2 linked regions of the Oryctolagus cuniculus genome follow. The protein of the gene in region 1 binds, or shares a complex with, the protein of each later gene. Links are inferred from orthologs where the notes say so. Each region holds a gene or a part of one and is shown on either strand. Other genes may lie near its edges.

Region 1 (5,732 bases):
AGGTCTTCCTTTTGCCGTTGGTTCACCCTCCAATGGCCGCTGTGGCCAGCGCACCGTGCCTATTCGAAGGCAGGAGCCAGGTGCTTCTCCTGGTCTCCCATGGGGTGCAAGGCCCAAGGACTTGGGCCATCCTCCACTGCACTCCCTGGCCACAGCAGAGAGCTGGCCTGGAAGAGGGGCAACCGGGACAGAATCCGGCGCCCCGACTGGGACTAGAACCCGGTGTGCCGGCGCCGCAAGGCGGAGGATTCAAGCTTTAGTCTTGAAAGGTTCTCTTCCAAGGCTCTCCATTTTGTCCTCTTGCAGCTACTTCTTGTGTAACATTGCAAGCATTTGTCTGAGCCAAGTTGATTGTCCTCACCAACACCTTCTTTGGTTGGCGTTCTTGATGTCATTTGTACTGAATGCCTGATCGTTTACTTCCTGTCCCATTTTATGTGTCACTTCAGAAAACCACACCCCATAGGTGCCTAGGCTCTCCTTTGTCCTCTGCTTCAAAAGCACCCACATGTGAGTGTTGTATCATATCATAGCAACATGACCTGTGTTCAGAGGAGGCAGAACCTTTTGGTTTGTGGAAAACACAATGCTCTTTTGTCACTACAGGAGAAGAGCTCTGAAGAAACTAACTGGGGCTCACATACAGAGCTTTTGTCCTTCCCTTGTGCAAGGGCCACATTAAGTAATCCCAGAGATCTCATAAAATCTCAGTCAAGTGAGTAGAACTTTCAACAGAAGATAGGTAGAGCAGGAAAAACTCGGGGACTTAAAAGATGACATTCACGGGACAGGCGGCTGTCACTGCTTGGGACGCCTGCCTGGTTTGAGTGCTGGTTCCTCTGCGTCCAGTCCAGCTTCCTGCTAATGTGCACCACAGGAGGACGCAGATGGTAGCTCGGGGACTTGGGTCCCTGCCACCCCTGGGAGACCCAGGTAGAGTTCCAGGCTCCAGACTTCAGCCTGGCCCAGCTGGCTGTTGTAGGCGTTTGGAGAGTAAAGCCGGGATGGAAGATATTTCTCTGTCATTTTGAATACTGTTTCAGGTTATATCGGTAGCTCTGGTAGACAGATGAGTTCAATCAGTTCGCTGTAAGTTTTGTAGGAAACAAGCCATCTGTCTCTTAGAGACAGCAGCCAGAAGAGGTTTTCTCAGCTCTTAGGTAAAATTTCTAATGAGAAGTTATCAGCAGATAGGATTCCCCAAGTGAAATTGCCCAACCTTTTCCAAAGCAGAATGACTGAAAACACATAGCAGAAGTGCTCATTCATATTGGTTATTTTTTTCAATTTTTCTTCTTCTTGGGGAAAACAGTGGAATTTGAGCTCCGAAGAGAAATCAAGAGACTCCAGGAATATAGGACAGCGGGCATTACCAATTTTTGTAGTAAGTATGTTTCGATCACATGGTGTATCAGAGAGCAAGTGTCTTCCAGACGCATCCAGGAAGTGTCTGAGGTATTGTGATACTTCCTTTAAAACAGGCTTTTCTTTTTCAGAATGAGTTTTCAATCTTTCCAGTAAACTTTCATCCCATTTTATCCATATAAGCACCATTATTTGGTTATCTGAAGTAGAATAACAGTCATGATATAAAGAAAAGAGATGTTGCTTTAGATTTAGGATTCTGCCATGGTTCCTAATAAAAAAGAGTTTTATATTCTAGGTTTTAGCCCCAGCCTTTCTAAGTGTATTAACAAAGTTTTATTAACCAAGCTTTGGATGGCTCTGGTACTTGCATTCCAGTTACTTGAAGTAATAGGAGTAATTGTATTAGTAGCAGCTAACATCTGTCAAATGTTTACTGTGCACCAGGCCCTATGCTAGGCATTTCACCTGGATTATGTCTTGGAACTCTTATGACCAACTCATGAGGTACTGTTATTTCCATTTATTGAAGAAACGAAGGCTTGAAGAGATTAAAGAGCAAGTAAATGTTAGAGCCAGTTCATCAGGGAAGGCCATGTGTTACTACAGTACTTTGAGGCTAGAGGGCTACACTTGGACTCTCCTCTTTACTAGCTCTGTGATTCTGTTCAAGTTTCAATTTCCCAAGTCTCAAGTTGGTGTGAAGATTAAGTTAGAGGTAGTGTAAAAATGTGGCTCAGTGCCTGGCACACAGAAATCCCCCATAAATGGCAATTTCTGTTGTTCTGCTATTATTGTAGGAATGATCTTGAGCATTCACTCCCTCTTCCTGTTTGAAGTCTGAGACTTGAAAGCTATCATCTACTACCCACAAGAAGTAGCTGTGTTTCTTAACATAGCCCTGTGGGTGTAAGTTCAACAATTCTTTCCTTTTAACAGTGGAAACCATGTTTGAAGTGAAATTTTATGTGAAGCTACAAACTACAAATAGGTCATAAGTGGAATTACTTTGGTTGACATTTGATGTGCCACTTATGAATGGAGCCCAGGACTCCCAATATTTGGCACTGACTTTGCTCTTCAAAGTCACCTCGTAGTGTCCTGAGGCTCTGTGTGACACGGTTGGAAACCCGTTGTTACGGTGACCTTTGTGAATGTGGAGAAAGCATCCCACAACTCTTAGGTGCATGTAGAGATGGATGCTGAATTTCAGTTACCTTCTGCTGGTGGCCTCTGGCAAGTATGGGATAGAAAGTGGTGAGTGGGCACTTTTGTTTAATTCTGATTGGTTCTGAAGGAACAGCTTATGCTTATGGCCCTTGTGACTTTGAAATAGATATGAATTAAAAAACCCAGAAAGCAAATATGACAGTAGTCAAATTGCTTTTTTAAAGTGGAAATATGAGTATTATTTGTGCTTTTCTGGTTCCCTCCTCTCCTCCAAATTTCGTAAAGGTAGAACAGGAATAAAAATATTTCAGTTAGTATCAACAAAGGGATTTCAGACTAGGAGAACCCTGCTTTTGCTCTTGGAAAAATAGCTGTGAAAGCAGTTTTGCAAAGAAAACCAAGAAAAGCCAAACAGGAATCCCCGTAGCTCTGCTGCATTGTCATTGTGGTCATCGTATTTTCTATGCCTTCAGGTGCCAGGACCTACGATCACTTGAAGAAGACACGAGAGGAGGAGCGTCTGAAACGCACCATGCTCTCCGAGGTTCTGCAGTACATCCAGGACAGCGGGGCATGCCAGCAGTGGCTCCGCCGGCAAGCCGACATGTGAGCAGTGCTGTGAGCTCCTCCCTGGTGCTGTGAGCGCACCGGTGCTGTGGAGCCCCTCTCGGGCACCCTGCATGCAGATGACTGCAGTCCCCTCAGAAACAGGGCAGTCCTAACAGTTCTGAGAAGTAGAGCTGGCTTCCTGGGATTCCCCCTTGCTACGTTGCTCTTACTTTTAAAAATGAGTGGGTTTCCCTAGCCTCCCACCTGGGCCCTCTCCGCCTGGATATCCATGGTGTGATTCCCATTGAGAATCGTCCTGCTAACCCTTCCCCGTGACGATATCAGTGGCGTTCCAGGGGTAAGAGCTCTCAACAAATCCAGGGCTCCTTTTATTTTCCCTCAGAACAGATTTTCCTTCCCGGTCAGTGTAGTGAGATACCCTGGAAAACATGATGTCTTCAGAGTGACCCACCTGAGGAATGGTCCCCAACCCCATAGGGACTTTGGAAGTTGTCTTTTGACCTGAGTCTAAATTCCTCTTCCTCACTACAGTGATTCCGGCCTGAGTCCTTCTGTTCCAATGGCTTCAAATTCAGGTAATTATTTCTCAGGCTGGAAATAGTCTTGATGGTAAAGTCTGCATTATGGGGGTGATGATGACCCCAAAATCCCACCCAGTGTAGACCAAGGCACTCAGGCAAGTCCAGTTTGTAAACATCTGCAGGTTTCTGGAACCTTCCCTGGGCAGAAAGGAGTGTCCTCAGGGTGAGAGGACAGAGACAGAGGAAGGAAGAACAGTAGAGAAGGTAGCTTCCTTATTTTACCAGTGTCAGCGGGCAGTCAGTTTATGGCACTTGTATCTGCCACACACTCTGGAGATTTGTCTTGCAGGAGATCAAAGGTTTGTATCCAGTATGAGCAAACAAACTGTGTTACTTGCCAGAAACTTGAGGATTTCTTTTCTTTTTTTGACACGCAGAGTTAGAGAGGAGAGAGAGACACAGGGAAAGGTCTTCCTTCTTCCGTTGGTTCACCCCCTATGGCCAGTGCTGCACCAATCCGAAGCCAGGAGTCAGGTGCTTCCTCCTGGTCTCCCATGGGGTGCAGAACCCCAGCACTTGGGCCATCCTCCACTGCACTCCCTGGCCACAGCAGAGAGCTGGCCTGGAAGAGGGGCAACAGGGACAGAATCCGGCGCCCCGACCGGGACTGGAACCGGGGTGCCGGTGCCGCAGGCGGAGGATTAGCCTAGTGAGCTGCAGCGCCTGCCGAGGATTTCTTTATAAATAAGAAGCTTAAGGTTTTTCTGTTTCTTTGCTTTACCTCGCTGGGTATGTCCTATTTTGAAATAAGTTTGTAGAGCAGGATTCAGCTGGCTGCTATCTGATGATCTTGGTGTGTAGTGATCAATGACTAGGAATTTGGAAAGATTATAGTTATAAAATTCTGACCCAAGATCATTGACCACTTGTTTGTTTATTTAGGATTTATTTATTTATTTGAAAGGCAGAGTTAGAGATCTTCCATCTGCTGGTTCACTCTGATGGCCAGAACCAAGAACTTCAGCCAGGTCTCCCATCTAGGTGGCAGGGGCCCAGACATGTGAGCCATCTGCTGCTGCTTTTCCCAGACCATTAGCATTGAGCTGGATTGGAAGTGGAGCAACCAGGACACAAACCAGTGCTCGGACGGGATGCTAGCATCACAGGCAGCAGGCTTCCCCACTTCACCACAACACTGGCCCCTTAGAGTGCTTTGCACGTTCTCTTGGTGGTCATCTGCCCCTGCTCCATATGCTAGATTGGCCATTTCTCCTAATTAGAACATGCAGACATTCTGCTGAGCAGAGACAGCAGAGCCGTTTTACCCATTCTCTGGCAGCTTGCAGCAGCAGAGCTTCTGAAATCTCTCAGTAGACTGAGGATCTAGATGGGACTCAGGTAAGGTCGCTTCAGGAGTTTTTTGGTTTTCTCCTTTTATTCCTCTGTTGTAAGTAATTACTCTTTAATGCTTAAGAGAGAGAAGGGAGACTTTTTACTGAGTCACCAAGACAGTGAAATCCAAGTTTTATTTTGTAAATTTCTTACTTCCAACCTAAATACAAAAATACAAATAACTTACTACTGGTTAATTAAAATGAATGGCTAACATGATCATTCAGCTCTGGTGTTTGAGTTTTCTGAACCATCTGCACTCAGTCTCTGTTTCTTACTGGCCTGGCATGGGCTTCCTCCACTCTGCATTTAGTGTGAGGAGACCCCTTGGTCTTTTATGCTCCGAGTTGCTCTTAACGTCATGAAATGTTAGAAGCCTGGCATCACTGACTGTATCCTAACCTCTGGTGACTTGGGACTTGGGAGGCACCATGCTATTGTACTTCTTTCTGAGCATTTGGGATAAGCCCTCATTCCCTTTGTTAGTATTCCAGAGAGCCCTGGTTTCCAAATGATCAGCTTATAGTGGTGCCTCCCCTTCTGCTGCCCCACCTAAAAGACATCCCCTTTACAGCTGGTGAGCGTCCTACATACTCGTTTGCTGAACTCACTCTGTCCATCCCCAGCTAAATCTTAATCCCAAACACACATTGAAAACAAAACCAGAACAGTTTTGCACATTCACTTCCCATCTTGGCCTGGCCAGTGAACTTC
Region 2 (6,181 bases), on another chromosome or scaffold:
CCCCCCCCCCCAATGTGCATTCTTAAAAGATAACTCTGGCCAGAATAGATGAGAGGAGGTAACAGCCTTGCTCAGTTGCATTGGGTGGCTCCACATCCCAGGGAAATATTCACAGAGGCCACTAGGGGGCAGGCGTGAGACAGTTCACAGCAGCTCCGTGGTACCCAGCCCGCAATGCAGACATGCATAAGTGCAAATAACTAATCCGCGAATTAAGTAAGGACAGATCTCAACAGAGTGCTGAGTGGAAGAAGAAAGAAGGAACGCGAGGGTTAGGATACCGTATAAGTGCGTTTAAAATGCACACAATAAACAATGTACGTGGTCTTTTTTAAAAAATTTATTTACTTATTTGAGAGGTAGAGTTAGAGAGAGAGAGGTCTTCCATCCACTGTTTCATTCCCCAAGTGGCTGCAATGGCCACAGCTGGGTCAGACTGAAGCCAGGAGCTTCCTCTGGGTCTCCCACGTGGGTGCAGGGACCCAAGGACTGGGGCCATCCTCTACTGTTTTCCCAGGCCATAGCAGAGAGCTGGATGGGAAGTGGAGCAGCCGGGACATGATTTAGTGCCTGTATGGGACGCTCATATGAGATCCAGCTTCCTGAAAATGCCCCTGGGAAAGCAGCAGAAGATGGCCCAAGTGCTTGGGTGCCTGCCACTCATGCGGACGGAGTTCCTTGGTCCTGGCTTCAGCCTGGCCCACTCCTGACTGTTGTGGCCATTTGGGGAGTGAACTAGCAGATGGAAGATCTCCCTCCCTCTCTCTCTCTCTCTCTCTCTCTCTCTGTGTGTGTGTGTGTGTGTGCGTGTCACCCTGCCTTCTAAATAAATAAAGGTTTTAAAAATCAATTAATGGCCGGCGCCGCAACTCACTAGGCTAATCCTCCACCTGTGGCGCCAGCACACCAGGTTCTAGTCCCAGTTGGGGCACCGGATTCTGTCCTGGTTGCCCCTCTTCCAGGCCAGCTCTCTGCTGTGGCCCGGGAGGGCAGTGGAGGATGGCCCAAGTCCTTGGGCCCTGCACCTGCATGGGAGACCAGGAGAAGCACCTGGCTCCTGGCTTCGGATCAGTGCAGTGCACTGGCCGCAGCGGCCATTGTGGGGTGAACCAACGGAAAAGGAAGACCTTTCTCTCTATCTCTCTCTCTCACTGTCCACTCTACCTGTCAAAAAAATCAATTAATAAATATATACTTTCCTAGGGGTTGTGTAAAAAATTGTGATGCTAGGCCGGCGCCACGGCTCACTAGGTTAATCCTCCACCTTGCGGCGCCGGCACACCGGGTTCTAGTCCTGGTCGGGACACCGGATTCTGTCCCGGTTGCCCCTCTTCCAGGCCAGCTCTCTGCTGTGGCCAGGGAGTGCAGTGGAGGATGGCCCAAGTCCTTGGGCCCTGCACCCCATGGGAGACCAGGATAAGTACCTGGCTCCTGCCATTGGATCAGCGCGGTGCGCCGGCCGCAGTGTGCTGGCCGCGGCAGCCATTGGAGGGTGAACCAACAGCAAAGGAAGACCTTTCTCTCTGTCTCTCTCTCACTGTCCACTCTGCCTGTCAAAAAAAAAAAAAAAAATTGTGATGCTATAATGTGGGGCAGGCGTTTTGGCTGAGCAGTTAAGAGGCCACTTGGGCTGCCCACATCCCACATCAGAGAACCTGGGTTTTGGCTGGGCTCTGCTCTCACTTTCAGCTTCCTGCTAATGTGCACGCGGGGAGACAGCAGATAACAGCTCAAGTAGGTAGGTCTGTGCCACCCACGTGGGAGACTTGGATTGAATTCTGGGCTCTTGATTTCAGCCTGACCCAGCCTTGGCTATTGCTGGCATTTGTCGGGTGAACCAGTGGACGGGATATATCTCTGTATCTCTCTGCTTTTCAATTAACATAAATAAATAAAGTTTGCAAAATACTATGACCGCCTTCTGATGAACTAAATATTTGCATGTGCATATCCTTAATACTTTGGGAAGACTCCCTGAAAGCATGATTTCTGGCTCTAAATATCGACATGTTTTTTAATTAATCCTTGCTTTTTAAAAATCTGCCTTTATTTTTCCAGAGCATTTTTAGGATCATAGCAAATTTGAGCTAGAAAGTTTCCGTATATCCTGCCGTCCCCCCAACCACAAGATGCTCACTCTTAAATTGCTTTGCTTTTTGTTTTAAAATTGAGGCTTTTTGAGAAGACGCTAAAATAAATCAATAATAAATAAGTCTTGCAAAATGAAGTTTCAGTTAAGAGTTGGGCACAGGTGTCAAACTAAAAACTACATTTCCCAGGGGGCAGCGCAGCACGTCACGGCGGGAGGGTCGCGCCTGCGCAGACGGGTCCGCCGCGCTCGCCTAAGCTCATAAAAGGGAAAAAAAGCGTGTGTGGTTCTCGACGTGCCGCGAATCTTCGAACGCGAGTGCGTTAGCATCCGCAGGCTCGGAAAAAGCGTTCGAGGGACCGCGCCTGTTTCTCCGTCGCTGTTTCCAGCGCGCCGAGGTTACTTCGCCCGGGACTCGGCAGGTGGGCATGGGTCAGGCCCGCGGCCGCCGGAGAGGCTCGGGAACCAGGGCACCGGGTCCTTCCTGCGCGCCCCCGTCCCCCGTCCCGGCTTCGCCTGAGGGGGCGCTCGGTGGGGTGCGGCGCGCACGCGCCCTGGGCGGGAGAGGCGGGGTTCGGCTCGCGGCCGTGGCGGCGGGGCCCGCGGCCGGGCGGCGTGGGGTCTGCGCGTGCGCCCTCGGGCCCCGGGGCGCGAGAGTGGGGAGCCGCGGCGCGCGCAGGTGCGGTGCTCGGCCAGGTGCGGCCGGGCGAGGCGAGGGGCGCGGCCGGGACTGCAGCATCCTTGCTGAACCAGTGCCAGGGTGGGGCAGCGCACCCGCCAGCCCGTCCACTGTCCTGACACCTGCAACCACCTGGTTTGCGCAGGTGTGTCGCCCAGGGCCAGCACGCTTCCTCCTCAGAGCCTCTAGCAGCAGCGCCCGTGCGTGGCGGGAACGCCTCTCCCCTTGTCCCGCTGGCCGCCCCTTTGCTTTTAATGCGTGTCCCACCCCAGAGCTGCATCCCAGATCTCTTCTCTGTGGCTGTCCGCTCCCTAGACATTCCCGATTGACGCTTTAAATACCCTCTGCGGTCCTGCCAACTTCTTGGATGCCTGTCTTCAGCCCGTGGACTCCCTGCGGAGCGCGCTCCCTGCTTTGAAATGGCTGCTTGGCCTCCCGGAATGTGTCCAGAGCTAATTTTGAGTTTTATCCTTTGCACATCGGTGCCTTCCCTCGTCTGTCTTGTTTTTCCAGCTTCTCGGGCTGGAAAGCTTGAGCTATGCCTGGTGTCTTTGCGTCTCAACTCCCCTCCTCCTCCATCCATCTCAGTCAATGTTGATTGAGGCTTTGAAATTTCGCTACTTGATGGGTAGCTGTGGGCATCCTCTTGGCCAGCGGCTGAGTCCTCTCTGACTGGGGTTTGTTTTTTTGACATCTGGCATCATTGTATGTTCAGACTTGCCTGGTCCTTTTTTGTCTCTTTTAGTGCTTTGTGTTACCTGCAAGTAAGTTTTTGGAACTGTGTTGTATTCCTTTCTGGACTGTGTCCCAGGTCTTCCATTGCTGGTTCACTCTCCAAATGGCCACAATAGCCGGAGCTGTGCTGATCTGAAGCCAGGAGCCAGGAGCCAGGAGCCAGGAGCTTCTTCTGGGTCTCCCATGTGGGACTTGGGCCATCTTCTACTGCTTTCCCAGGCCACAGCAGAGAGCTGGATCGGTAGAGGAGCAGCCGGGTCTTGAACCAGCGCCCATATAGGATGCCACCACTGCAGGCGGAGGCTTAGCCCACTACGCCACAGCGCTGGCCCCTCCTTGTTACTTCTAATCTGTCAAGGTTCTCCAGGGGCCAGCACATGGCACAGTGAGTAAAGCTGCCGCTTGCAACAGCAGCGTCCCACATGAACGCCTGTTTAAGTCCTGGCTGCTCTGCTTCCCACCCAGCTCCCTGCCAAAGCACCTGGGAGGCCAGTCGGTAATGGACCAAGTGCTTGGGCCCCTCCCACCCACGTGGAAGACGGGGATGGAGTTCCGGCTCCTGGCTTCAGCCTGGCGCAGACCCAGAAAGCAGCCATTCGGGGAGTGAACCACAGGTGGAAGATTTCTGTCTATCTTTTCCTTTCTCTCTGTCACTCTGTCTTTCAGATAAGCAAACAAATTTTTTTTTTTTTTTTTAACAATGTTCTCCAGAGAAACAGAACTGAACAGTTCTCTGTAGTTAACACAGAGAGAGATGTGTGATGATGGCCTGGGTCACAGGACGGTGGAGGCTGAGCTGCCGTCCATGACTCAACACCTGCGCATTCGAAGCCCAGCAAAGCCAGTGCCGTTCCAGTGCAAGCCCAGAGGCCTGAGAACCAGCAGGCTGGGCGATGCCCATGCTGGAGGCACCCTCCCAGACCCACCTGCAAACAGTGTCTCACCAGGCAGGTTGACACATAATAGGCACCATCACATTTTCCTGTCTCTTTTTTAGTTGCCATGGTGATCACCATTTTTCTGGTGACACTTTTGGTATAGTCACAATAACCGACCAGTTGATGGGTGGTGTGTAAGAGACGAAATGCTCCTACTTCTGTGAGTTGTTTTAGGACTGAGCACGTTGAAGTTGTGGCAAAATTGGAGTTCAGAGGAAGAGCGTAGGTTTTAGAATTGGCAGCCTTGTAACCCCACCTCAACTGCTTTTTGCTGTTACCTTGTTAAACGTAACCCGTCTGAACCATTTTTTGGTTGGTTGGTTTTTTTTTTGTGTTTTGTTTTTTTTAGTATTTATTCATTTATTTGAAAGGCAGTTTTAGAGAAACAGGGAGAGGTGGAGAGAGGGGTCTTCCATCCATTGGTTCATATCCCAAATGGCTGCAGTGGCCAAGACTGGGCCGGCTACAGCTGGAAGCCTGGAACCACATCCAGGTCTCTTCCCAAGTGGGTGCAGGGGCAGGTACCTGGGCCGTCTTCCACTGCTTTCCTGGGCTCATTAGCAGGGAGCTGGATTGGAAGCAGAGCAGCTGGGACTCAAACTGGGGCTCGTGTGGAGTTGCTGGTGTCACGAGCAGCAACTTAACCTGCTGCGCCACAGCGCCGGCCCCTCCCATCCGAACTTCTACCGAGAGAGTGTAACCCTTTCCCGTGCTGTCCACGCCTTCACCGTTGTGGCTCCGTGGGGCTCTGGCCTCGCTCAGCAGGTAATCTCTGGTCTAATCCGTTCCTGGGGCCTTAGCTGCTCATTCTGATTCGTCCGCTTCTGGTCTCTGATCTAGACTGCAGGTCGTTACTTCACGTGCTTCTAGCCAGTACAGCTGGACGTTTCCAGAGGGACATGTTCTGCTTCACGTGAGATGCGTTACGTAAAGCCCTGGTGCTAAGCCATGTAGGAAGAAACACATTGGTGTCACAGGCAACTGAAGGAAAAAGATAAGTTGGTGCAGCCAGCATCGTGGCGCAGTAGGGTTAAGAGATCAAATCGGAGCTGCTCCACTTCCTAGCCAGTTTCCTGCTATTGGGCCTGGGAAGGCAGTGGAAGATGGCCCAAGTGTTTGAGTTTCTGCCGCCTGCATGGGAGGTGGAGATAGTTCCTGGCTCCTGGCTTCAGCCTTGCCCAACCCTGGCTGTTGCTGGCATCTGGGGAGTGAATCAGTGGATGGAAGATTCATACCCCCACCCCATCTCTGTCTCTCTCTCTGTCACTCTGCCTTTCAAATAAATAAATCAGAAGACATATTGGACTTTATATTAAAGATATGTGCTCCCATGGATACAACTCAGTAACAGAGATAACTGAACTTGAAGGTGGGCAGAGGGCCGGCCTCCAGAAGCCATACATACACGGCCAGCAAGTGCATGAGAAGGTGCTGCATGCCCTCAGCCATCAGGAGACCCCCCCCCCCGGGCCCCCGAGGGTCTGCAGTCATGGAGACAGCAGCCTGGGGTGGCACCCACACGGCTGCTGCCAGTTCTTCTGTGAAGCGTGGAGTTGCCACGTGATCCATGCCCGGAAGATGGAAGCTTACGTCTACACAGAAACCTGGCTGCGTGCATGTCAGCGTTACTCAGAATAGCTAAAATGTGGGCACCACGCCTGTCCTTAGACTGATGAATTATAGACAGAGTGTGAGGTAGGGACTATTCAAGACAAAATGAAGTGCAGGAGAAGCAAATCA

Evidence for each region.
Region 2: TADA2A (region 1) and SGF29 share a complex: the UniProt entries of both Homo sapiens proteins name them as parts of the ADA2A-containing complex. The link is inferred for Oryctolagus cuniculus from reciprocal best matches to the Homo sapiens genes TADA2A and SGF29.

The regions. Positions count from the first base shown.
Region 1 is NC_091448.1:38,177,282-38,183,013, forward strand, and holds part of TADA2A (transcriptional adapter 2-alpha), read left to right. Parts: intron 1-1,312; coding exon 1,313-1,384; intron 1,385-3,008; coding exon 3,009-3,141; intron 3,142-3,636; coding exon 3,637-3,680; intron 3,681-5,732. UniProt on the Homo sapiens protein: Component of the ATAC complex, a complex with histone acetyltransferase activity on histones H3 and H4. Required for the function of some acidic activation domains, which activate transcription from a distant site. Binds double-stranded DNA.
Region 2 is NC_091450.1:7,540,664-7,546,844, reverse strand, and holds the start of SGF29 (SAGA-associated factor 29), read left to right. Parts: upstream 1-2,292; 5' UTR 2,293-2,511; intron 2,512-3,722; exon of another isoform or gene 3,723-3,888; intron 3,889-5,005; exon of another isoform or gene 5,006-5,206; intron 5,207-6,181. UniProt on the Homo sapiens protein: Chromatin reader component of some histone acetyltransferase (HAT) SAGA-type complexes like the TFTC-HAT, ATAC or STAGA complexes.